Caenorhabditis elegans: one gene and its partners. The protein of the gene in region 1 purifies or fractionates together with the protein of each later gene. This does not show direct contact. Each region holds a gene or a part of one and is shown in the gene's direction. Other genes may lie near its edges.

The links.
Region 2: the proteins of mrps-26 (region 1) and mrps-15 fractionate together in Caenorhabditis elegans (co-fractionation; one large-scale study listed by BioGRID). This does not show direct contact.
Region 3: the proteins of mrps-26 (region 1) and dhps-1 fractionate together in Caenorhabditis elegans (co-fractionation; one large-scale study listed by BioGRID). This does not show direct contact.

What each region holds. Positions count from the first base shown.
Region 1 is NC_003281.10:5,231,846-5,238,056, forward strand, and holds mrps-26 (Small ribosomal subunit protein mS26), read left to right. Parts: upstream 1-2,771; 5' UTR 2,772-2,772; coding exon 2,773-2,934; intron 2,935-3,226; coding exon 3,227-3,832; 3' UTR 3,833-3,842; intron 3,843-4,214; 3' UTR 4,215-4,519; downstream 4,520-6,211. Other genes in the region: prmt-5 (Protein arginine N-methyltransferase 5), read left to right, coding at 1-260, 538-1,019, 1,639-1,810, 2,035-2,253, 2,302-2,373.
Region 2 is NC_003279.8:8,688,927-8,694,913, reverse strand, and holds mrps-15 (Small ribosomal subunit protein uS15m), read left to right. Parts: upstream 1-2,352; 5' UTR 2,353-2,375; intron 2,376-2,422; coding exon 2,423-2,503; intron 2,504-2,554; coding exon 2,555-2,618; intron 2,619-2,668; coding exon 2,669-2,757; intron 2,758-2,802; coding exon 2,803-3,022; intron 3,023-3,069; coding exon 3,070-3,140; intron 3,141-3,186; coding exon 3,187-3,351; intron 3,352-3,403; coding exon 3,404-3,553; intron 3,554-3,631; coding exon 3,632-3,784; 3' UTR 3,785-3,875; downstream 3,876-5,987. Other genes in the region: K07A12.5 (Pre-mRNA-splicing factor SYF2), read left to right, coding at 29-140, 256-393, 440-558, 605-699, 744-861, 910-1,212, 1,259-1,421; asg-1 (putative ATP synthase subunit g 1, mitochondrial), read right to left, coding at 1,524-1,694, 1,742-1,966; hbs-1 (Tr-type G domain-containing protein), read left to right, coding at 3,985-4,027, 4,077-4,136, 4,185-4,495, 4,621-4,839, 5,538-5,647, 5,699-5,928, 5,985-5,987.
Region 3 is NC_003280.10:11,989,747-11,999,578, forward strand, and holds dhps-1 (Deoxyhypusine synthase), read left to right. Parts: upstream 1-3,254; 5' UTR 3,255-3,268; coding exon 3,269-3,481; intron 3,482-4,058; coding exon 4,059-4,208; intron 4,209-5,349; coding exon 5,350-5,731; intron 5,732-7,352; coding exon 7,353-7,481; intron 7,482-7,914; coding exon 7,915-8,156; 3' UTR 8,157-8,264; downstream 8,265-9,832. Other genes in the region: Y17G7B.3 (hydroxyacylglutathione hydrolase), read left to right, coding at 429-599, 1,617-2,090; Y17G7B.23 (DUF281 domain-containing protein), read left to right, coding at 9,514-9,638, 9,708-9,832. UniProt on the Caenorhabditis elegans protein: Catalyzes the NAD-dependent oxidative cleavage of spermidine and the subsequent transfer of the butylamine moiety of spermidine to the epsilon-amino group of a critical lysine residue of the eIF-5A precursor protein to form the intermediate deoxyhypusine residue.

The sequences.
Region 1 (6,211 bases):
ACCGAAGTCGTCCTGATGTTGGAGAAGGATCGAATGACTCCACTCATTATCTTAATGTTATCGAATACAAAGATGTTTTGCAAGCACCTCTTCAACCATTGTCTGAAAATTTGGATTCAGGAGTTTATAATACATTCGAGCAGGATCAAATTAAATACGACGTGTATGGAGAAGCTGTAGTTGGAGCATTAAAAGATCTTGGAGCTGACGGAAGAAAAACTGTTGTCATTTACTTGTTGGGAGGAGGACGTGGTCCTATTGTGAGTTTTTGGCTATTAAGTAGAAAAAGTCCCTTTTAATTCGACATGAAAACATATTTTGTGGCCAATTGAAAACACTCCACCCCCTGACCATGGGTCTCGTTTGGAAGTTGGCGACAAGCCGGAAATTCAAACATTTTGCAGTTAATTTTGCCAATTGTCTGAAGCGAACTGCAACATTTTTCAATTTACAGTTTTTCGGTCTAAATGAATATCAAAACGGGCATTTTTATGCGTCTCCATAGTTTTAAATATTATAAATTTCAATTTTTTTCAGGGAACGAAAATTCTGAAATCTGAAAGAGAATACAACAACACATTCCGACAAGGCCAAGAAAGTCTCAAAGTGAAGCTTTATATTGTTGAAAAGAATCCAAATGCAATCGTCACTCTGAAATATATGAATGTGAGAACATGGAAACGACGAGTAACGATTATTGAAAGTGATATGCGAAGTCTGCCGGGAATTGCGAAAGATCGTGGATTCGAACAACCTGACATAATTGTTTCGGAACTTCTTGGAAGTTTTGGAGATAACGAGTTGAGTCCTGAATGTCTAGATGGTGTCACTGGATTTTTGAAGCCAACAACAATTTCAATTCCACAGAAGTACACTAGCTATGTGAAGCCAATAATGAGTACTCATATTCATCAAACAATTAAAGCTCAAAGTATTCCTTATTTGAGTCGTGCAATTCCATCGCATGGTAGAGGTGAACCGGAATTGGATGAAGACGAAATGTGGATTCAAAAATACCCGTTTGTTTTTCAATTTTTTTATAAAAATATAAACATTCTGCCTTATTACCCCGATGCCAAATTTTGCTAGTCCCGGTCTCGATTAGACAAAATTTTTAAAATTAAAAAAAAAATTCAAACAAAAATCTTTGTTATATGCGAAAACGTGTGCACCTTTAAACTATACTGTAATCTAAGACTTGTTGCTGCAGAGTTTTTATTAATTTTTTATAGTTTTTTTTGGTTGGCATTTTATTATTTTAGTTTAGTTTTGATAAATTGATATTGATTTTTATTTAAAAAACTATGAAAAATCATGGGATATTGAAATTACAGTACTCTTCAAAGGTACAAAAAGTTTCGTATTAACGAATATTTATCGTGTAGATACCGGGTACCGTAATATTAGAAAAAGTATCGCTAAAATTCATGTTGTGGTAATAAATATTTCTGAAGTTTTCTACTCTTGTGTACATAAAGGCCCTGGCCGAGTACACGGAGGTTTCTAGGCCATCTTTTCTTGACGGGAGTATCCGCTCCACAAGTTATGCTTCAATTTACTCTTATTTTAGAATAATTTTTAATTAAAAAAAAAGCATAAAAACTTTTTTTTTAAATTTTAATAAACATTTTCTTTCAGACAAGGACATGTTCGTAACAATATGGATCAAATCTACGTTGTATATCTTTCAAAATACATTCCACTTGCCGAAACCACCAAACCAGTATTCACATTTGAACATCCAAATTTCATGAATTCAAGCAATGAGAGAAGCGATTCTATTGAATTTGTTATGGATAGAAATGCAGATGTAAGTTTTTCAGCAAAAAAAAAAAAAAAAACTTAGAAATTCTTAAGAAAATTTAAAAATATTTTTTCGTTGATTATTTGAGGTAATTTGCTTATATTAAATGCAAAATTCGCACAAATGACAGTCCACCTTTGAAAATAAAACAATGAATTGAAAAATTTTATTGATAAAATATGTGTTTATTAAATTAAAAATCAAATAAGTTAGAACCTAATTTATTTCAGCTGATGGGATTCGCCGGCTACTTTGATCTTCAACTCTACAAAACCGTGATGCTTTCAATTGAACCATCAACTCATACACCTGGAATGGTCAGTTGGTTCCCAGCTGTTATTCCACTTAGAGATCAATTGAGAGTTGGAGAAGGTGACAGAATTTCTCTGAAAATCGATCGAAAAGTTGACAATACTGGTGTGTGGTACGAATGGCATGTTGAAAAAAAGGTAACAGTTTTTGATAACTTATTAAGATTATAGTTGAGTTTTTTCCAGAAAACCAATGGCGAATCTGTGAGCACCCCGATCCAGAATCCAAATGGAGAGAGCTATTACATGAGAATGTAGTGCCTAGTTTTTCGCTTTTATAATTATTATTTTCCTGTTTTAATCCTAATTGTTGATGTGTTATTCACTTTTGCGCCCCTATTGAATTTCCCAATCATTCCTAGAATTTTTTCCGTTGGTTTTCCCATTTCCTGTTGCCCATTTTCCGGTTCATTAATTTGAAGATTCTTTTTTGCTCCGGTATCTATCGCGATTCGATTGTTGCTCCTTTTAATTCGATATTAATTGTTTAAAAATTCAGTTTTTAAGTTTCCGTTAATTTTCCGAATTAAAGAGCTTGTTTTATTCTGTTGTTTTTTTGTAATTTTGAATTATAGTTATTAGTTTTCATACTAAAACATATTTTTATAGAGATTTTAAAGTTTTCCCAATTATTTTTCATTTAAAAATATTTTCAGAATGTTGATAAACAGTTCTCGTTTATCAATTTCTTCAACGGGACGATGTCTTTTGGCATCTGCCATGTCACAAATGGACGAAGTATTCGGAGTACAGAAGAGACAAATGGGACGACGGCAACCAAAGCAGGGAAAACCACCAATTTTGCCTCCATCGAAGAAAGTGAGTTCTATTGATTTTTTCACTAGAACAAAAATTGGAACATAAAAAAATCCAATTTTTGCCGAAAAAAATGCGCCAGCGGGGCTTTTTCCCAAAATGACAGAAAATGTCTCAATATACCGAATATAACTGTTAGAAAATTTACAGTATTTTTCTAACTCCTTAAAAATGGGTTTTTTCAGTCTTGCAACAAAAAAACGTGCAACTTTTTATTGAAAAATTTAGAAGAATTCTATAAATTTTTAACAGTTTTAAATTTTGTTACTCTTATCTATAAATTCACAAAATTCAGGTTCTCTACCACGTTGTGCATGCTCCATGGCAGAAACCAGAAGATGTCGAGGAGCTCCTCTGGCGTCGTCATGCATACAACAATGCAGTTATTTCACTTCGAGAAGTATTCCGTGCAGAACTTGCTCAAAATGCATCTCATGGTCAGGGTATCGAAGCAATGAAAGAAGCAGAAGCACTTGAATTAGACGAATTAATTGCTCAAAATGAGAAGCGGAATGAAGAAAAACGGGCGGCACGTAAAGAACGAGAAGCCGAAGATGCGAAGGAAACAAAATCTGTAATTTTGGAAGAAATTCGAGTTGAATTGGAGAAAAGAAATGCAGGCAAAAAGCAGGCAGAAGATGAAGTTAAAAATGCAATTTCTCGTTCAAGTGAATTCATTACTCGTTCAAATCTTGAAACTAAAATTCTCGAAGCACTCGAAAAGCCAACAATTTACGATTTTGCAATTGATCGGGCTGGGAACAAGTATTTCGTACCTGAACCAGTTAAATATCAAGAAGGAACACCAACTCGACAAAAAGGACGATTGTATGATCAGACATTGGGTACACAACATGGAACTATCGAAGAAGCTAATAAGATACAACAGAAAAGTGTTTAGAGGACATGATGTGAGTTATTTTTGAACATCGAAAAATAAAAATAATAAAAAAATCTTCTAATGTAGTAATATTTTTGTTTTCAAATTTTTGAATTTTTTGAAGAAATGAAATTTTCATCTCTGGTAATTTCTCTACATAAAAATCAACTTTTTTTGATAAGTCTATAGACTAGACTACTATATTTCCTTACAATTTTTTCCAGTTTTACGAATTTCAATTTTTCAGTTCGAAAATCGAAAATTTTTCGACGACATCCATGTTCAATATAAACTTGTAGTTTGTGAGAAAAAAATATGAAATAATTGGAAAAGTGTTACACTTTTAAATATTTTCTGTAATCAATATTTTCGTTTACCTAATAATTTACTTTTTTTATTTCAGATTTGCCATTTCCCCAACTGGTCATCATCATTCTTCCCAAAAGGGACAACATTGTAGTCTACACACATTTCTTCCTAATTCGGATGATAACACTATAAGATAACTGTTCTCTGTCTCCGTCTCTTGTTCTCTCTTTCTCATTATTTTTTTTTGTATTCTATTTCCCTTTTTGAGTTTATACAAATTATATCAATTTTTGTTTTCTTTTTCTCTGTTTCAAATTCCAGTTTTCTAGACATTTTCCCTTTAGATAGACTTTTGCTGTTATAAGTTTTTGATTTTTTTCATAAATCTACAATCGTTTCATTTTACTTTCTTTAATTTGACTGTCTAAAATATTCGGATTTCAGCCGGTTGAAAATATCAGAAGAATGAACACATATGTGGCTGAAATTGGGGAAATTGTGAGATCTCAGCGAAGAGATGAAGAGTATATTGAAGATATTACAGAAAGATTGAGCAGGGTAATTAAAAAATTAGATTAGATTTTTTTTTTGAAAATTACGGTGCCTGGTCTCGACACGACAAAATTTTGTTAAATGTAAAAGGGCGTGCGCCTTTAAATTCAAAGATTACAGTAATTCACAATCTCTTTTTGCGGAATTTTCACAGATTTTTCCACAAACACATGACATTTAGAAAATAACTTTAAGTAACAACAATCGGTTGAAAATTTAAGAAACTACAGTACTATTTAAAAGCGCACACATTTTAGAATTTAACAGAAAATTTGTCGCGACGAGAATAATCCAATTACACAACAGGAATAAGTCAAATTGCCAAACTGTTTTTGTGATAAAAAATTAGTTATTTGAATTTCTTAAATTTCTAGGTCAGCAAAGAGCTTCTGGGCCAACGTACGTGGATTCGGTGGTTTCCGTATTTAAAATCCATCGCATCGACTCTTTATTATACGAGCACAGTTGTATTAGGTCAGAATATTAATATTTCAATCATAAATCAAGAAATCCCATTTTCGTTCAGGAAATCAAACTCTTGGCGAGGAATACGTTCATTTATTTGAATCAAACGGTCTTGAACGAACAGTTCCATCGATTCCATCACGGATTTCTTTTGTTCTTCTTCATTCAGCATTTCCATTAATTTCAAATTATTTGATTCAGGTGATTTTCATAGTTTCTTTTTGAAAATATTTGTGAAAATAAGTTTACAGAAAGCAGAATCAACACTTACACATCCATCAACTGAATCATTTCTTGGAATTCCGATTCGAAAAAATCAAAAAGCTCGTCAATCATTTCTTGACGTGTTTTTCTGGTTGAGAACTAAACTTTTTCCACAACTTCAACGTGCTCATATTGCTCTTTTCTATATAACTGGAGCATATTATAGCATCGCCAGAAGATTCACTGGAATTCGATTTTTATCAGCCAGTGCTCATTCGGATATTCCTGTACGTTAAGTGGATAGTCTCATTTTGGGTCCCGGCACGAGTGAGACTTTCCAGCTACCGTACTCCCAATCTAGATAGATTTTCAAAATTTTATTGGGTTTCATTACCCAGACGCGAATTATTACAGTAGTCTTTAAAGGCGCACACATTTTTAAATTTAACAAAAAATTTGTCGTGTCGAGACCGGGTACCGTATTTTTGCCACAAAAACATTAAGCTTTTCAATATTTAAAGTTTTCAGGCGCTGAAAGTTTATCGATTCCTTGGTTATATAACATTAATTCAATTGGCAGTTAGTATTGGAATATCATTATATTCATTTCTAGAACAGGAGAAATTCAATAATAAATTGAAAAAGGAGAAAAAAGAAAACAACGGAGGATCGGATAGGAATCTAGACGAGAATTCGGTGAGTTTTTCACGAGCATATAATAATTTTGAAATAACAATTTCTTTCAGCTATTTCATCCAACATTCCAGTGTTCAATTTGTCTTGAAAACAAGAATCCATCTGCTCTTTTCTGTGGACATTTATTCTGTTGGACGTGTATTCAGGAGCACGCAGTAGCTGCCACGTCATCCG
Region 2 (5,987 bases), on another chromosome or scaffold:
GTAATAACTTATCTGATTTGGTTTCCAGGAAGGATGCTCAGAAACAACTGAAAAATTGGGAAGAATTTCGAAAGGAGCAAGTAGTTGAAATCTTTCATACGCAGTCTCAATACGTTTCGAAATCGAAAAATTCAGACGTGGTAAGCATACAGTATATATATATATATATCTCGCCGCGCAAAGGAAGTGCTTAATTACGGTTTTTACTATCCATCTAAAAAGTTAAAAAGAAATACATTATTTCTTGAAATTCAGCGCCATCCAAAGATGCAACGAGCCAATACGGTTGTCAATCGTCAAGGAGTGAAAGTTGATGTAGAATTTGGACGATTGAAAGAATACTACTTATCCACTTTGGCTCCACAAAAAAAGTTTGTGTCGATTCGTGATCACGTAACATAGAGATTATAGAGAAATTTACTTTAACCATGAACTTTAGGCAGCTCGTGAAAAGGAACTGGACGCTCTTCGTAAGAAACAGAAAATCAGTTTGGAGCAAAGGAAAGATAAACAGGACAACATAAAAAAGTCCCAAGCAGAGTACGATCAGATGAAAAGGTTTCAATGGGTCGAATGGTTTTATGTAGAAATTATCATATTTTAGCTTATACGCTGCCCCTGTCGATCCCAAGCAAACAAAAGTGGAAACAATGGAGCAAAAAGAAGTTTTAGAGCCAACAGCCCCGATGGAGAAATTCGGTAAAACTACGAAACAATACAGAAATCGGAGTGTTTATTTTCAGTTGTGAATACCACTGACGACAAAAGAGCCCTGTTCCCAGCCAGTTGGTATCAACAACCGATTTCCCGTTCGCAATTGAAGAAAGGAAAGATGATTTATTGGATGGCAAAAGACGAAGAGTAATTTTCGTGGCTTGCATCCGTTGGATCTTAATATTTGAATTTCAGAGAGGATATGACGTTGGACGATGATCCAGAGGGAAAGTACACGGTTACTGCTGAAAAGTTGATTGAGACAATGACTGCTGGGGGGAAAGTTAAACATGCTGGAATAACAGAACCACCTAGCAACACAGCAAACACCATCATGTCCGAGTCCTTGGCATCAATTAATGCGAGATACAAGAAGAGTTGTGAAAGAAATGCTGTTTTCATGAATACCTTGCACGGTACTATTGAATTCAACAAGAAACAAGTATCTGTAGATAAAACCCTCTCTACAAGTTCAATAAGCCAGGATGATGCGACCGAGTAAGAATTTCGAAACTGATTTTTCTCTAACGAGTTTTATTTTTAGCGCTCCGAATCAAATCATTTTTGCTCCAACAATCACTTCTCATGTTTTCAAAGGCCGATCTCTGAAAAGACAGTATGCAGTGAAAAATAAGGCACTTGAAACTTTTGAGGAAGATCGGAAGGATTACACTCGAGAGGCTGGAGAAGAAACTAGTGGATTGTAATTTTTTGTATTGAACTAGAAAAATAAAGCCTTAATTTCTTTTATCTAACAAACGTTGAAGAAAAAACACATATTTTCACAAATGAATATGCTTATCGATGTATTAAGCTTCGAGGGCAGCGAGTCTCTTCTTTTCGGCAACCTTAGCCTTTGTATCCTTCGAGACATAATTGGCTGGAACAATGTACCCGAAAATGTAGCGACGTCCAATCATTTCTCCGACAAAGAACCAAAAGACTACCTCGAGGGCAACTGCCGAGTAGACGAGACTTTCCTGAAGTTATTTTTTATTGAGTGTTGTTTCAGCGTGTAACAAATTACCTTGATACTAAGGTTGACATATTGCTTGGTCTCAATAAACTTCTGGAGCTTAGCCCAGTCCGCCTTGATAGCTGGGATGTCAGCAGACCGGGGTGGAGCCAGCTCGTGCTTTCCAACAGCCTTGAGAATAGCGAGACGGCGTGGGAACTGCTGAGCTTGATGACGGTAAAGAGCTCCAAAGGTGTTGGCCAACTTTTCGAAGAAGCTCAGCTTGTGGGTCGCCATCGCTGAAAATTTCGAGTGTGAATGAGAGAATGTGTTTCGAAATTAATAAGGCAATAAAATTGGGAGACGAGGGAATCAATTATTGAATAGATCATTAAAATTTATTTGTTCCTTAAATGAAACTTAATAGAAAGGGAATAATGTTGCCCATGAGTGCTCATTCATTAAAAAAATCCCCCAAAATACAAGCAGCCCGTTTTAATCAAGACAGTAGTATATTTGAATCGTGGTGGGACCCTTTAAGCAATCGAGAAAGAAATCCTTGGTTTTTTTAATTCAGCGAGGCTGTCCGCAGTTGAGCGGCACGGTGTTTGCGGACTTTTACAAACCGTATCTCATTGAGTTCCAAGGCGCCGTGGAAATTTTTTTTGTTTTAATTTTCATGAATGATTAGATTAATTAATATTAAGTCAGTTTTGAACGGTATTTTTGTTCAATTTTCTATAATACTTTCAGATGATAAATCTTCGAAGATTTGTGCACACATCGTGTCGGCTGGAACGAGGAAGAACAGCGTTCTACAACGTTCATCAAAAAGTGGGTGGAAAAAAAAACAAAACTAGCCACAATTTGATATATCATTTTCAGGTCACCGACCCAGCCAAGCAAGATCCGGATTACTTTGAGAAAAAAGCGAGAGAACTGCCACTGGGTGAGTATATTCAAGTACCGAGATATATATCTCTATTAAGTGATTTTCAGATCAAAACTACATCGATGCACTTACGAAGCTTTACTACGAAAAAATTGGCAGTGAACGCGATTTGGGTTTGAAAGCAGCTGATAATTTGGTATGATAATCAAGAGTTTTATAGATATAAGCAATATTCTTGCAGATTCTCGAAAAAACCGAATTCGGATTGCCTCGTATTGAAAAATCGAAAACTCGTGCGAAATATGAAGATTTAGATGTTCTTTCGAATGCTCCAGAGTCTGTCAAAAAGATTTTTAGTGTTGAAATGGCGACGAGAAAAGAGTTGTCACAAGAATGGAAACAAAGTCTTATCAAATCAGTAAGGCAGCATTCTCTCGATGAAAATAGTTTGGAAATGAAAAGTTTGTTTGAGAAATAATCACAAAATATTATCTAAAATTAATTTCAGTTGCCTGGCTAACGGCTTTAATTCGGCATTGGTCTCTTCTTGTTAATGACATTGGACAGGAAACCAAAAAAGTAGTTTAACATTTTAAAAAGGCAATATTTCTAACATTTATTGCAGAAGCCAACATGGCTCACCCATCGAATCTGGCTCGTAATCAATGAACGCCGTAAAGCTCTTCGTATTTTACGTGAACGTAATGAGACTGCATTCGAGAAAACAATTGCCGCTCTGAAAATTTCGTATCATGTACCGAAACAGCCAGCTCATGTGAAAACTAGAAAGGTAAAGTTTGCAAATTGATAACTTTAAACACTAAAAAAACAACAAATTTCAGGCATGGGCCGAAGCACAATTAAAGTTGAGAGTTGAAAATGAAAAAGAGAAGCGATTGGAAGAATTGCACGAAAAGTACGATAAAGAAGTTGAAGAGCATAAAAGAGAGACACAAGAGAAGAGGAAAGCATTGAATAATGAATTGGATAAAGTAAGCAAAATATACACTTTGAAAATACCCTTTTTAAAACTAATTTCTGAAACGTTTCAAATTCAAACGAAATTTCAGCTTGCTCAAGAAATGCGCCAAATTGACGTTATCGAAGGAAAATCGTTTGAAACAGTTGGAAAGTATGAACCAGCTTTAATCTCTTCACTTACTGAAACTGTTATTCATTCAAATCTCTTCTATCATCCACCACCAACTATGACTGAAAAATAATCTCATTTAGAAGTTCAGAATTTTTTTTGTTGTAGTAGGATCTTTCTTATTATTGTTATGCTATTATTGAATTAAAATTTATTATCCCTCCATGTTTCTATTATGATTTCGTTAAATCGGTTGTAAATCTTCCGAAACTTTCTATCTATTTGAACGATGGGAAAGAAAACTTGCGAATTAAATATAAAACAGTTCTTCAGATGTCCCGCCACCGTGCTATTCGAAATTTAAATTTAGAAGATGGTAAGCTTCAAAAAAAAGAAACCGAAGATTAACAATTTTGTCTTTTCAGAAATGGACGACGATTATGACGACGATTACGACGATTATGAAGATGAGGAGAACCCGGAAAGTAAGAAAAACTTTATTTTTCATTCAAATAATTAATTAAAATTTTCAGAGCAATATACATATGATCGTAATTCATTATCCACAAACTACTATACATATCTGACAGATAGTGGTCGCAATTCACCAGCTCTTCCTGCTCCACATCCTGGTATTCCATCATCATCGTATCATCCACCTGTATCAACTCCAACACCTACTGCAGCTCCAACAACTTCCCTATCTTCTACTATTGTACGAAATATGACAGCTCCATTGCTCCATCAAAATCAAAAACCACCGAAGAATCTTAATAGTCGACCGAGTACACCACAAACGTCTAGCAATTTGAATACTCCAAAAAGAACGCCGCAAGTTAAAAATGTGAGCTCGAGAATACTTTAAAAAATTCAACTGTAACTTAAGTTATCACGTAATCCAATACGAGAATTTTCTTTGAAAGCATCATTTCGCATCTTATTTATATCTTATATATACTAATTTTTCAGCTTCAAGCAGAATCAACAACTCCAACTGTGAGCCGCCCATCTTCTGAAGTCGATTTAACATCATTTCGACGCAATCAACTGCAGAACATCGCGAAAGCTCCGTCAGTTGCCCGAAAAACACCAAAACCAAGAGTTGCTGATAAAGATTTAATTAACTTGATTGTCGTTGGACATGTCGATGCAGGAAAAAGTACTCTCATGGGTCATTTACTTCATGATGTAAGTTATTGAAACTTTGAAAGTGTCGTCAAAATTTTTGGTAGAACATGAGTGAGTGTCAAGAATGCACACTTCGAAACTTTTCAGATTTTTCAACATTTTCAGTCATTTATTTATCGTTGAGTAGTTTCAAGCATTGCTGCAGTCTTGAACCCTGAAAATGATTAAATACGAATAATTACAAAGTAATTGAAATCTAAAGCCCTTAAAATCGTTTTATTGATGAATGAAAATCAGGGCGGACTCCGAAAACAATTATTTTCCGAAACCGGAAACGAAAAAGGTATTCTCGACAAAAACACTCAAGTTATAATTTCGAGTGTTTTTTTTGGATAGTAACACTGCCAAATTTAAGAATTCGTCAGTTACTTTATTGATCTCTTTTTTTTCCGAAAATATCTAAAAATAAATTTTCTTCAAAAGCAGGAAAAAAACGGAAACCGAAAAATGTACAGCCCTGATGGCAACAACAGTAAAGAATTTCCTTTTTTTGACTGTTACTTAAAACATTTTTAATTTTTAATAACTTATACTTCGTGGCTTGTTCGAAGCATTTTAAGTAAATTAACCCCACCGGCAACAGGGTTGTAGATTTTTTGTTCTTCCCTTTCTTCGTGTTTTCGGCGAAAAAAACTTTTCCTTTTCGTTTAAAAAAAATGTGGGATTCACTCAACTTAACTAAATTCTCATATTTCCAGCTTGAAGTGGTAGATAGCCGTACAATCGACAAATTCAAACATGAAGCGGCTAGAAATGGCAAAGCTTCTTTCGCGTATGCCTGGGTACTTGATGAAACGGAAGAGGAACGGTAAGATGGAATTAAAATTGATTTTTGTTAGCCAACCAAGCTTTGTTTTAGTGAGCGCGGAGTTACCATGGACATTGGAAGAACAAGCTTCGAAACTTCACATCGACGAATCGTGCTTCTCGATGCTCCAGGACATAAAGATTTTATTTCAAATATGATCACAGGAACGTCACAAGCTGATGCAGCCATCCTTGTTGTGAATGCGACCACCGGAGAATTTGAAACAGGATTTGAAAACGGAGGACAGACGAAAGAACATGCCTTACTGCTCAGAAGTTTAGGTATCTTTAAAAATATAAACATATCATTCTTAGGTTCTGCAAGAGACAATTTTCAGGAG
Region 3 (9,832 bases), on another chromosome or scaffold:
ATAAAAAATTCATGGAGCTCACAAGAAATTTCAATGTAAAATAACGAAAAAATAGAAAAATCGGGAAAATTGGTATGAAAATTAAATAAAAATGAATTAAAAATATTAATCTCGTAAATCCACACACCTGCGGCACAGTTATCATTCAAAATTTGTAGTTTGAAATTAACAAACCAATGGATTTTCGGATTTTTAAAAATTAATATAAAATCAGGGAAATTTTTTTGAATATTTTTAGATCGATATTCGGTATCAGGAGCATATATAGGGTTAATAGAATTTTTTTTTATTTAAAAATAAAATAAAAATACTTTCAATTAAAAAAAATTTCCAAAAAATGATTTTTTTCCCATTATTCACTTTCCATTTTAAACAGTTTTTATTCGCCATAAAAATTTTGTCAATAATTAATTTGTTTTCTCCTACAGATCGATATAACAGCAGTACTAACCACCCATCACCACTATGATCATTGTGGTGGAAATGAAGGATTTCGTCGTCAATTCCCGAATGTCATGATTCTCGGTGGAGATTCAAGGATTCCGGCAATGGATCGGCACGTGAAGCATGGTGATATGGCAGAGTTCGCTGGGCTTCAGGTTATTTTTTTGAAATTTGATTTTTGAAAAAAAAATTAAATTTTTTTTGTTCCAAAATTTTAATATTGGTTTTTTTAGAAGACCTAGCATGAAATTTTAATTTTTTGAAATAATAAAAAAACTTGGGGTTTCCAGAAGTTGCTGAAAATTTTTTGAAAATTCAACCCTTTTTCTACAAAAAAAAAATCGATTTTTTGTTGGTATAATAAAAAAATTGGAATTTTTTATTCAAAAAATTTATTAGCAGTTTTCAGCAAAAAAAACGGAAAAAATTGCAGATTTTAACTTTTTTCTAAAAAATCGCTGCAGTTTTTCTTAAATTCCAGTTTAAAAAAAAACCTTATCTTCTTGAATTTCTGAATATTTTCTCGTGAAAAAATGTTTTAAAATCAGATATTTTCAACAAAAATCAAAAATTGCGGTTTTTTTCAAAAATTGTTTTACAAAAATGACACAATGATTGAAATTGTGCAAATTTTATTGCAATTAATTATTGCAATTTTTTTTAATATTCAAAAAAATTTCTTAAATAAATTCAAAAGAAAATTCCAAATTCCAAAAAAAATTCTTTAAAAAAACCAACAAAATAAATTCTTTTAAAATCTAACAAAAAAATCCTTTGAAAATTATTAAAAATCCAAAAAAAAAACCCTAAATAATTTCAAAAAAATATTCCAAAACAGAAAAAAGGTGTATTTTTAAAATTATTTAAAAATCCAAAAAAACTCCAAAACAAGTCCCAAAAAATCCTCGAAAAAATTTTTTAAAAAATCCAAAAAAAAATCCTTTAAAAAGTATTTAAAAATCCAAAAAAATTATTTCAAAAAATCCGAAAAAAATTTTGAAAAGTATTAAAAAATCCGAAAAATCCTCAAAAAATTCTTGCAAAATCAAACAAAAAAAATCCAAAATTAAAAAAAAAATCGAACAAAAAAAAATCCAAAAAAATCCGAAAAAAAACCTTTAAAAAGTATTTAAAAATCCTTTTTTTCTCTAATAAATTCCTAAAATTTCCAGATAAAATGTCTATCCACTCCATGTCACACATCCGGTCACATCTGCTACCACATCACAAATCCTGCCGCAGATTCCACTTCCCCTGGAGTCGTTTTCACCGGTGACACCCTATTCATCGCCGGTTGTGGGCGGTTCTTCGAGGGCACGGCACCACAAATGGACGTGGCACTCAACGAAATTCTCAAAAATCTTCCAGTCGAGACCCAAATATTTCCGGGACACGAGTACACTGTCGCCAACCTGAAATTCGCGTGCCACGTGGAACCTGGCAACGAGAAAGCTGCTCAGAAGCTCGAGTGGGCTCAACGACAAATTGAGCAGGGTGGATTTACGGTTCCGAGTACTGTAGCTGAGGAAAAAGCAACGAATCCATTTATGAGGGTACGGGAATCTGAGGAAATTCAAAAATCGATTGGGACATGCGATGCGGTCGTGGGAATGGCCAAATTGAGAGAAATGAAGAATAAATTCTAATTTTTTTTTTGGTTTTTTAATATAATTTTCTTGAAAATTTAAGCTTTTTTCATTGTAAAATTATCTAAATTTTGGAAAAAAAATTAAAAAAAAAAACAAGAAAAAGTGTTTTTTAAAAGAAATTTTGTAATTTGTATTTATGGAAAAAATTAGCAAAAGAATTTTTTTCAGAATTTTTTTTTTCGAAATTTCAATGAACATTTGAGGAATTTTACTATTTTTTAATTCAGAAAATGTACAAAATTGGAAAAAAAAACTGAAATTTGATTAAAAATCATCTGAATTCGATCGAATTTAAAAAAAAATCCGAAATTAAATAATTAATTCAAAAAATACTCTATTCGTTTTAAATTTTTCTAAATTAAAAAATGACAATTTTTTGAAATCAAAAAATTATTTTGTTTTAATTTAGAAAAAATATCTTAATTTCGAATAAAAAACTTTCTTTTTGGTTTTTGGAAAGTTCCACAATCTGGGAGAATTTTTAGAATTAATTACAGATTTTTTGAAAAAAAAAAGAATTTAAATGATTTTCAATGAAATTTTAATTATGGAAACGAACAAAATTCTAAAATTACGAAAGTAAAATTTCCAAAAAAGCGAAATTTTTCAAAAAATTGGCATTTTTCGGAATTTTTGTTTTCGGAAAAACTTCCACAATTTAAATTTTAAACGAATTGAGAATTTTTGAATTAATTACGGATTTTTTTTGAGAAATTTTACAAAAATCGAATTTCGATGATTTTTATTTTTTTCAAACAAATTTTGGTTTTTTTTTGTTGTGAACTTTCTTTATAAAATCGAACCAAAAAAAAGTTGTTTTTTTTTTCGAAAAAAAAATTCTGAATTTTTTCTAAACTACGAAATCTAAATTGCTAAAAAAAATTGTATAAAAATCGGCATTTTTATTGTAAATTGATTTGATTTTATGTGATTTCATTCCGGTTTTAATTTCTATTTTCCTGCTAAAATGTCTATAAATTTATGCTTATTCATTTTTTTCCGATTTTTTTTGGTACAAATTTTGTTAATTCAGTTTTCAATCATATTTTATTTGATTTATTGTATTTTTTTTTTTGGATTTTTTCAAAAAATTTTAATATTTTGTCTAATTTTACACCTAACTAATAGTAAATTCAGTAAAAACCCGCCTCAATTTTTCAGAAACTTGCTCCAAAATGAGCACCAACGAAGCAGCAGCATCTCAGGAGGATATAGCACTTGCTCAGGGAGCAGTTCTCGTGAAATCATGTCAAGTACCGGATGGTTCAATTCCGATTCGCGGATTCGATTTCAGCACGGCTTCTGGTCCGGATTTCTCGCTTTCCGCCATTCTTTCGTCTTATATGAGCACAGGATTTCAGGCAACACATTTGGCTCAGGCTATTCAGGTAGCCAGTTGCAAAAAATTCAGATTTAATTTGGAAATCAGAAGGAAAATTGAAAATTTCGAAAAAAAAATTTAATTCGAAAATTCCCGGTTTTTTAATGATTTTCTGAGAATGTCAGACTTATTGATTTTTTTTGAATCGAAAAAAAATTTTATTAAAAAAAAAAAAAATTCTGGGAAAGTTGAAATTAAATTATATTTAAACATAAAATAATGTAAAAAAGAAAAAATTAGAAAAAAATCATAAAAAAATGTATTTCGAAAATGCTTTTTTACATTTTTTAGGCGGAAATTTTCCTTTTTTTTATGATTTTCTGAGAAAGTCGACCTTTTTTATTTTTTTTTCTCAAATTCCAAATAAAAATTTTTTAAACTTATAGTTAAATTTTTAAAAAATTTTGAAAAAATCGCAAAAATTTTTATTTTTAATTTTTGAAATAGTCGGACTTATAGATTTTTTAAAATAAAATTCTGGAAGAATTTTAACTTCAAAAAATAATTTTTTTTACAAAAAATTTGGAAAAATAGCAGCAAAAAATTGTTTTACTCAATAAATTCCGAATTTTCCCAATTTTCAGCAAGTAAATCAAATGCTCTCCCTCCGTGATACTCCGTTGACTTGTGACGACGACGAGAAGCTTTTCCCATATCCAGAAGGTCGGCAAAAGAGATCATGTACTATTTTCCTCGGATACACGTCGAATTTGGTGACCAGTGGGCTTCGTGAGGTCCGTAAATCTACAAAAGATCTACACAAAAGTTGAAATTCCTCGTAATTCTACACGAAAACTATGTTTACCGTAAATCTACCCAAAATTGATCTTTGTAAATCTACACGAAAACTGAATTTCCCCGTAAATCTACACGTGAAAAATTAGTGCTTCCCGCAATTCTACGAAAAAACAATTAAAATTCCCCGTAAATCTACACAAAAATTGAAAGTCCTCGTAAATCTACACCTGAAACACTAGTGCTTCATGTAAATCTACCAACAAATTAGATTTACATGAAGTAAATCTACAACAAAAATCAAAGTTTCTCGTAAATCTACACCTTAAAAAGCTATGGTTACCGTAATTCTACACATAACTGATTCTTCTTGTAAATCTACACATCAACTCTAAAAATGACCCAAATCTACACTAAAATGTCCCCGTAAATCCACACCAATCCCCGTAAATCTACACAAGAAAAAATATATTTTTCCGTAAATCTACACAAAACTGAATCTCCCCGTAAATCTACACAAAATTGATCCTCGTAAATCTACACAAAATTGAATTTCTCCGTAAATCTACATAAAAACGGAATTTCCTGGTTAATCTACACAGAAATTCAAATTCCCCGTAAATCTAAATAAAATTTGTATTCGTCGTAAATCTACATCTAAAAAATCCTGCTTCTCGTAAATCTACAAAAAAAAACACAATTTCCCTGTAAATCTACACAAAAATTAATACTTCTCGTAAATCTACACAGGAAAATAAATACTCAGCTTTCTCGTCAATCTACCCACAAAAACTATGCTCACCGTAATTCTACACAGAACTGATTCTCCTTGTAAATCTACACATCAATTCTAAAATTGGCCCAGAAGCCTAAATCCATTAAGAAATATTGTAAATCTACACTAAAATGCCCCCGTAAATCCACACCAAACCGTCTCTAAAAAAATTTTTAAATTCAAATTCAATGTGCTGTTATTTCTCGTAAATTTACACAAGAACATATACTTCCGTAAATCTACACCGAAATTAGCGTCTCGTAAATCTACACAAAACCTGAAATTTCCCCGTAAATCTACATAAAGGTACCGTAAATTCACTCTAAATTCGTAAATCCACCCAAATGAAAAATTAAAAATTCCAGGTACTCCGCTATTGTGTCCAACGTAACCTAGTCGACTGTATCGTAACATCAGCGGGAGGCATCGAAGAGGATCTCATCAAATGTCTCAAACCTTCCTACCTCGGTACATTCACAATGGACGGTGCAAAACTTCGATCGAATGGAATGAATCGAGCCGGCAATGTGCTCATTCCGAATGATAATTATTGTGCATTTGAGGATTGGCTTATGCCAATTCTTGATGAATGTCTTGTTGAACAAGAGGAAAAGCATCTCAATTGGACACCGTCAAAGCTTATTCAACGGCTTGGTGAACGGATTGGTGATGAATCGTCGATACTGTATTGGGCGGCCAAGCATCGGATTCCCGTATTTTGTCCGGCGCTTACTGATGGGTCATTGGGTAGGGGATTTTGAATTTGGATTTTGAAAAATAAATCGAATTTTGGAGAAAAAATTCGAAAAAACTTTGAAAATAGATTTTTTTTAATTTATCAATTTTGCAAAAAAAAATATTCAAAGATTTTGAAAAATTGGAAAAAAAATTGAATTTTTTGAAAGAATTTGTTGGCAAATTTGCCGGAATTTTTCATTTTCGGCAATTTGCCGGTTTGCCGGAATTTTTCATTTTCGGCAAATTGCCGATTTGCCGGAAATTGTCAATTCCGCCAATTTGCCGGTTTGCCGATTTGCCGGAAATGTTCAATTCCGGCAATTTGCCAAATTTTCCGAAATTTTTCAATTCCGGCAATATGTCGATTGCCGGAATTTTTTATTTTCGGCAAATTGCCGATTTTCCTGAAATATTTAATTCCGACAATTTGCCGGTTTGCCTATTGCCGGAAATTTTCATTTTCGGCAAATTAGCGTTTTGCCGGAAATATTAAATTCCGCCAATTTGTCGGTTGGCCTATTTCCGGAAATTTTCATTTTCGGCAAATTGCCGATTTGCCGGAAATTGTCAATTCCGCCAATTTGCCGGTTTGCCGATTTGCCGGAAATGTTCAATTCCGGCAATTTGCCAAATTTTCCGAAATTTTTCAATTCCGGCAATATGTCGATTGCCGGAATTTTTTATTTTCGGCAAATTGCCGATTTTCCTGAAATATTTAATTCCGACAATTTGCCGGTTTGCCTATTGCCGGAAATTTTCATTTTCGGCAAATTAGCGTTTTGCCGGAAATATTAAATTCCGCCAATTTGTCGGTTGGCCTATTTCCGGAAATTTTCATTTTCGGTAAATTGCCGATTTGCCGGAAATTTTCAATTCCGCCAATTTGCCGGTTTGCCGATTTGCCGGAAATGTTCAATTCCGGCAATTTGCCAAATTTTCCAAAATTTTTCAATTCCGGCAATATGTCGATTGCCGGAATTTTTCATTTTCGGCAAATTGCCGATTTTCCTGAAATATTTAATTCCGACAATTTGCCGGTTTGCCTATTGCCGGAAATTTTCATTTTCGGCAAATTAGCGTTTTGCCGGAAATATTAAATTCCGCCAATTTGCCGGAAATATTAAATTCCGCCAATTTGTCGGTTGGCCTATTTCCGGAATTTTTCATTTTCGGCAAATTGCCGATTTGCCGGAAATGTTCAATTCCGGCAATTTGCCAAATTTTCCAAAATTTTTCAATTCCGGCAATATGTCGATTGCCGTAATTTTTCATTTTCGGCAAATTGCCGATTTTCCTGAAATATTTAATTCCGACAATTTGCCGGTTTGCCTATTGCCGGAAATTTTCATTTTCGGCAAATTAGCGATTTGCTGGAAATATTAAATTCCGCCAATTTGCCGGAAATTTTAAATTCCGGCAAAATGCCGATTTGCCCATTTGCCGGAAAAAATTTTTTTTCGGCAAATTGCCGTTTTGCCGATTTGCCGAAAATGTTTAAAGGGATTTTTTATAAGAGAGCATCGAAAAAAAAAATTGCATTATTTTTAAACAAAATTTGCAAAAAATTGTTAAAGTTTTTGAAATTTGAAAAAAAAATTCAAAAAATTTTTATTTTAGTCAATTTTTTCAGGTGACATGTTGTACTTCCATTCGGTGAAAAGCTCACCTGGGCTTCGTGTGGATATTGTAGAGGACGTTCGACATATTAATACAATTGCTGTCAAAAGTTTCAAGACTGGATCAATTATTTTAGGAGGAGGTCCGAAATTAAAAAAAATATGTGAAAAACCCTGTTTTAGAAATTTTAAATTAATTTTTTCTCAAAAATTTTATGAATTTTCCAACATTTTTTTTGCAGTTTTCTGAAGATTGAAAAATTATTGAAAAAAATTGAGAAAAAAATTAAACTTTGAATTTTGAATTTGAAAATACCATAGTAATGAAAGCAATTTTCCAAATTTATTGTTAAATTTAATTTTCATACACTTTTTTCTAGTTTTTTCCAAAATAAAAAAATTTCTCGAAAATTTTAACGTAAAATTTCTTTGAAAAAAAGCTGAGTATGTAAAAAAAAATTTGGACTTTAAACAAAAAGAATTTAAACTAATTTTTTAAAATCAAATTCACAAAATTTGAAAAAAATGCTTTCCAGAATTTTTCCCCATTTTTGTCAAAAAATCCTACAATTCCAGGAGTCGTAAAACACCACATCAACAACGCGAATCTCATGAGAAACGGCGCAGATCATACCGTCTACATCAACACCGGCCAAGAATTCGATGGCTCCGATTCTGGAGCTCAACCCGACGAGGCAGTGAGCTGGGGGAAGGTTAAGCCGTCGGCTGGAGCTGTGAAGGTTCATGCTGAGGCGACACTTGTATTCCCACTTTTGGTTGCTGAAACTTTTGCAAAACATGAAGGACACAAGGATTAGGAATTTTTGCCAAATTTTCCCCCAATTTTTAAAACTATTTTTTCATTGTTACCTGTTTTGTTGACTTTTTCACTTGTTTGTTATTTTCTTAATACAGATTCTTTAATATTACTTTTTTTTAATTTACGAATGATTTGCGGGACAAGAAAACAATTAAAATATTTCGAAAAATCGAATTTTTGAAGATTTTTTCAAAGAACTTCAAAAAAATTCCTCAATTTTTTCTGAAAAGTTCAAAAAAAAATTAGCTGTTCAAAAAATTGTAACAAATCCGGCAATTTGCTTGCCGGTTTGCCGATTTGCCGGAAATTTTTAATTCCGGCAAATTGCCCGTTTGCCAGAATTGTTTAGAGGGATTTTTTATAAGGAAACACTTAAAACTGTGTCTTTATGAATTTTTTTCCCGTTTTTTCTACATATTTTCATAGAATTTGCTTACTTTTCAAAATAGATGTAGGAACATTCATAGGATGCGCTTAATTTTGTCATTTGAAATTGATATTCTGAAATTTCCAAAAACATAAGTGCGAAACTACAATTTGCCGAAAATTTTCGGTAAACTCCAGTTTTCCGGCAAATTCGGCACATCGGCAATTTGCCGGTTTGCCGATTTGCCGGTTTGCCGATTGGCCGGAAAAAATCGTTTTCCATCCACTGTACTGTAGCGCTTGTGTCGATTTACGGGCATCATTTATTAATCGATGAAACATCGAAAGAAAACACAAAAAAGGACAAAACAGTACGAAAAAACTAAAGAAAATTCGAAAACCGAACCCGTAAATCGACACCAGCGCTACAGTAGTCCTTCATGAAATTACTGTAGTTTTCGCTATGAGATATTTTTAGATTTAGAGATATGTTAGGCGATATGCTTTCTCAGGATTTTTGTCTTCTCGTAATATATGTTTTTTTCCTAATTTTTTTGCAACAATGATTAAAAAATTAAAAAAAAAAACCAAATCCAATTCTATAACAGTATTTTCCTGTTCTTATTTGTATAATTGACTCACTGCACATAATACACTAAAACTCATGACTCTTCTCAAAACTGACATTCTCTGAAAACTATTTGCCTATACGGTCGTAAATTCTTGTTTTTTTTCTGAGAATTTTTCAGACTTTTCCAGAATTTCAGAACCCCTTTTATGACTTTTTGAGTCACTTTAATAGACAAACAAACATTTTTCGTATAAAAGAAGTGCTCCGAGTGCTCAATTGTCCCGGCTCGTTCAATTGGAATTTTGTCCTTTTTCTTGTTATTCTTTTTATGTTTATTTAATCTAAATATAAATATTTTTTCAGATAAAAAGGCATAATGATGTCATTGAAAATTCAAATTTTTTTGTTAACATTTATGATGTGGATTTTGGGAGTCCGGGCGCAGGACAAAGATTGCATCCAGTGTGCAACATCAAACTTAATGGAAGATTGGGGAGCAACAGGACTTCCGCTGAAACCGGCGAATCTCCTGTTTGATGACAAGTGCGTTTTCATGTTATAATCATACACCTAGCGGCATAACTTAAATGCAACCAGACACCCTTATTTCAGATGCGGTACGCCGAATAGTTTAGTGAGTACTGTTTCTGGCAACTGTGCATCGATGTGCTTCGAACTCATGATTCCGGTGAACAATAAGCTCGCGTTTGTACGAGGGTGTCACGCTGATTTTGTAT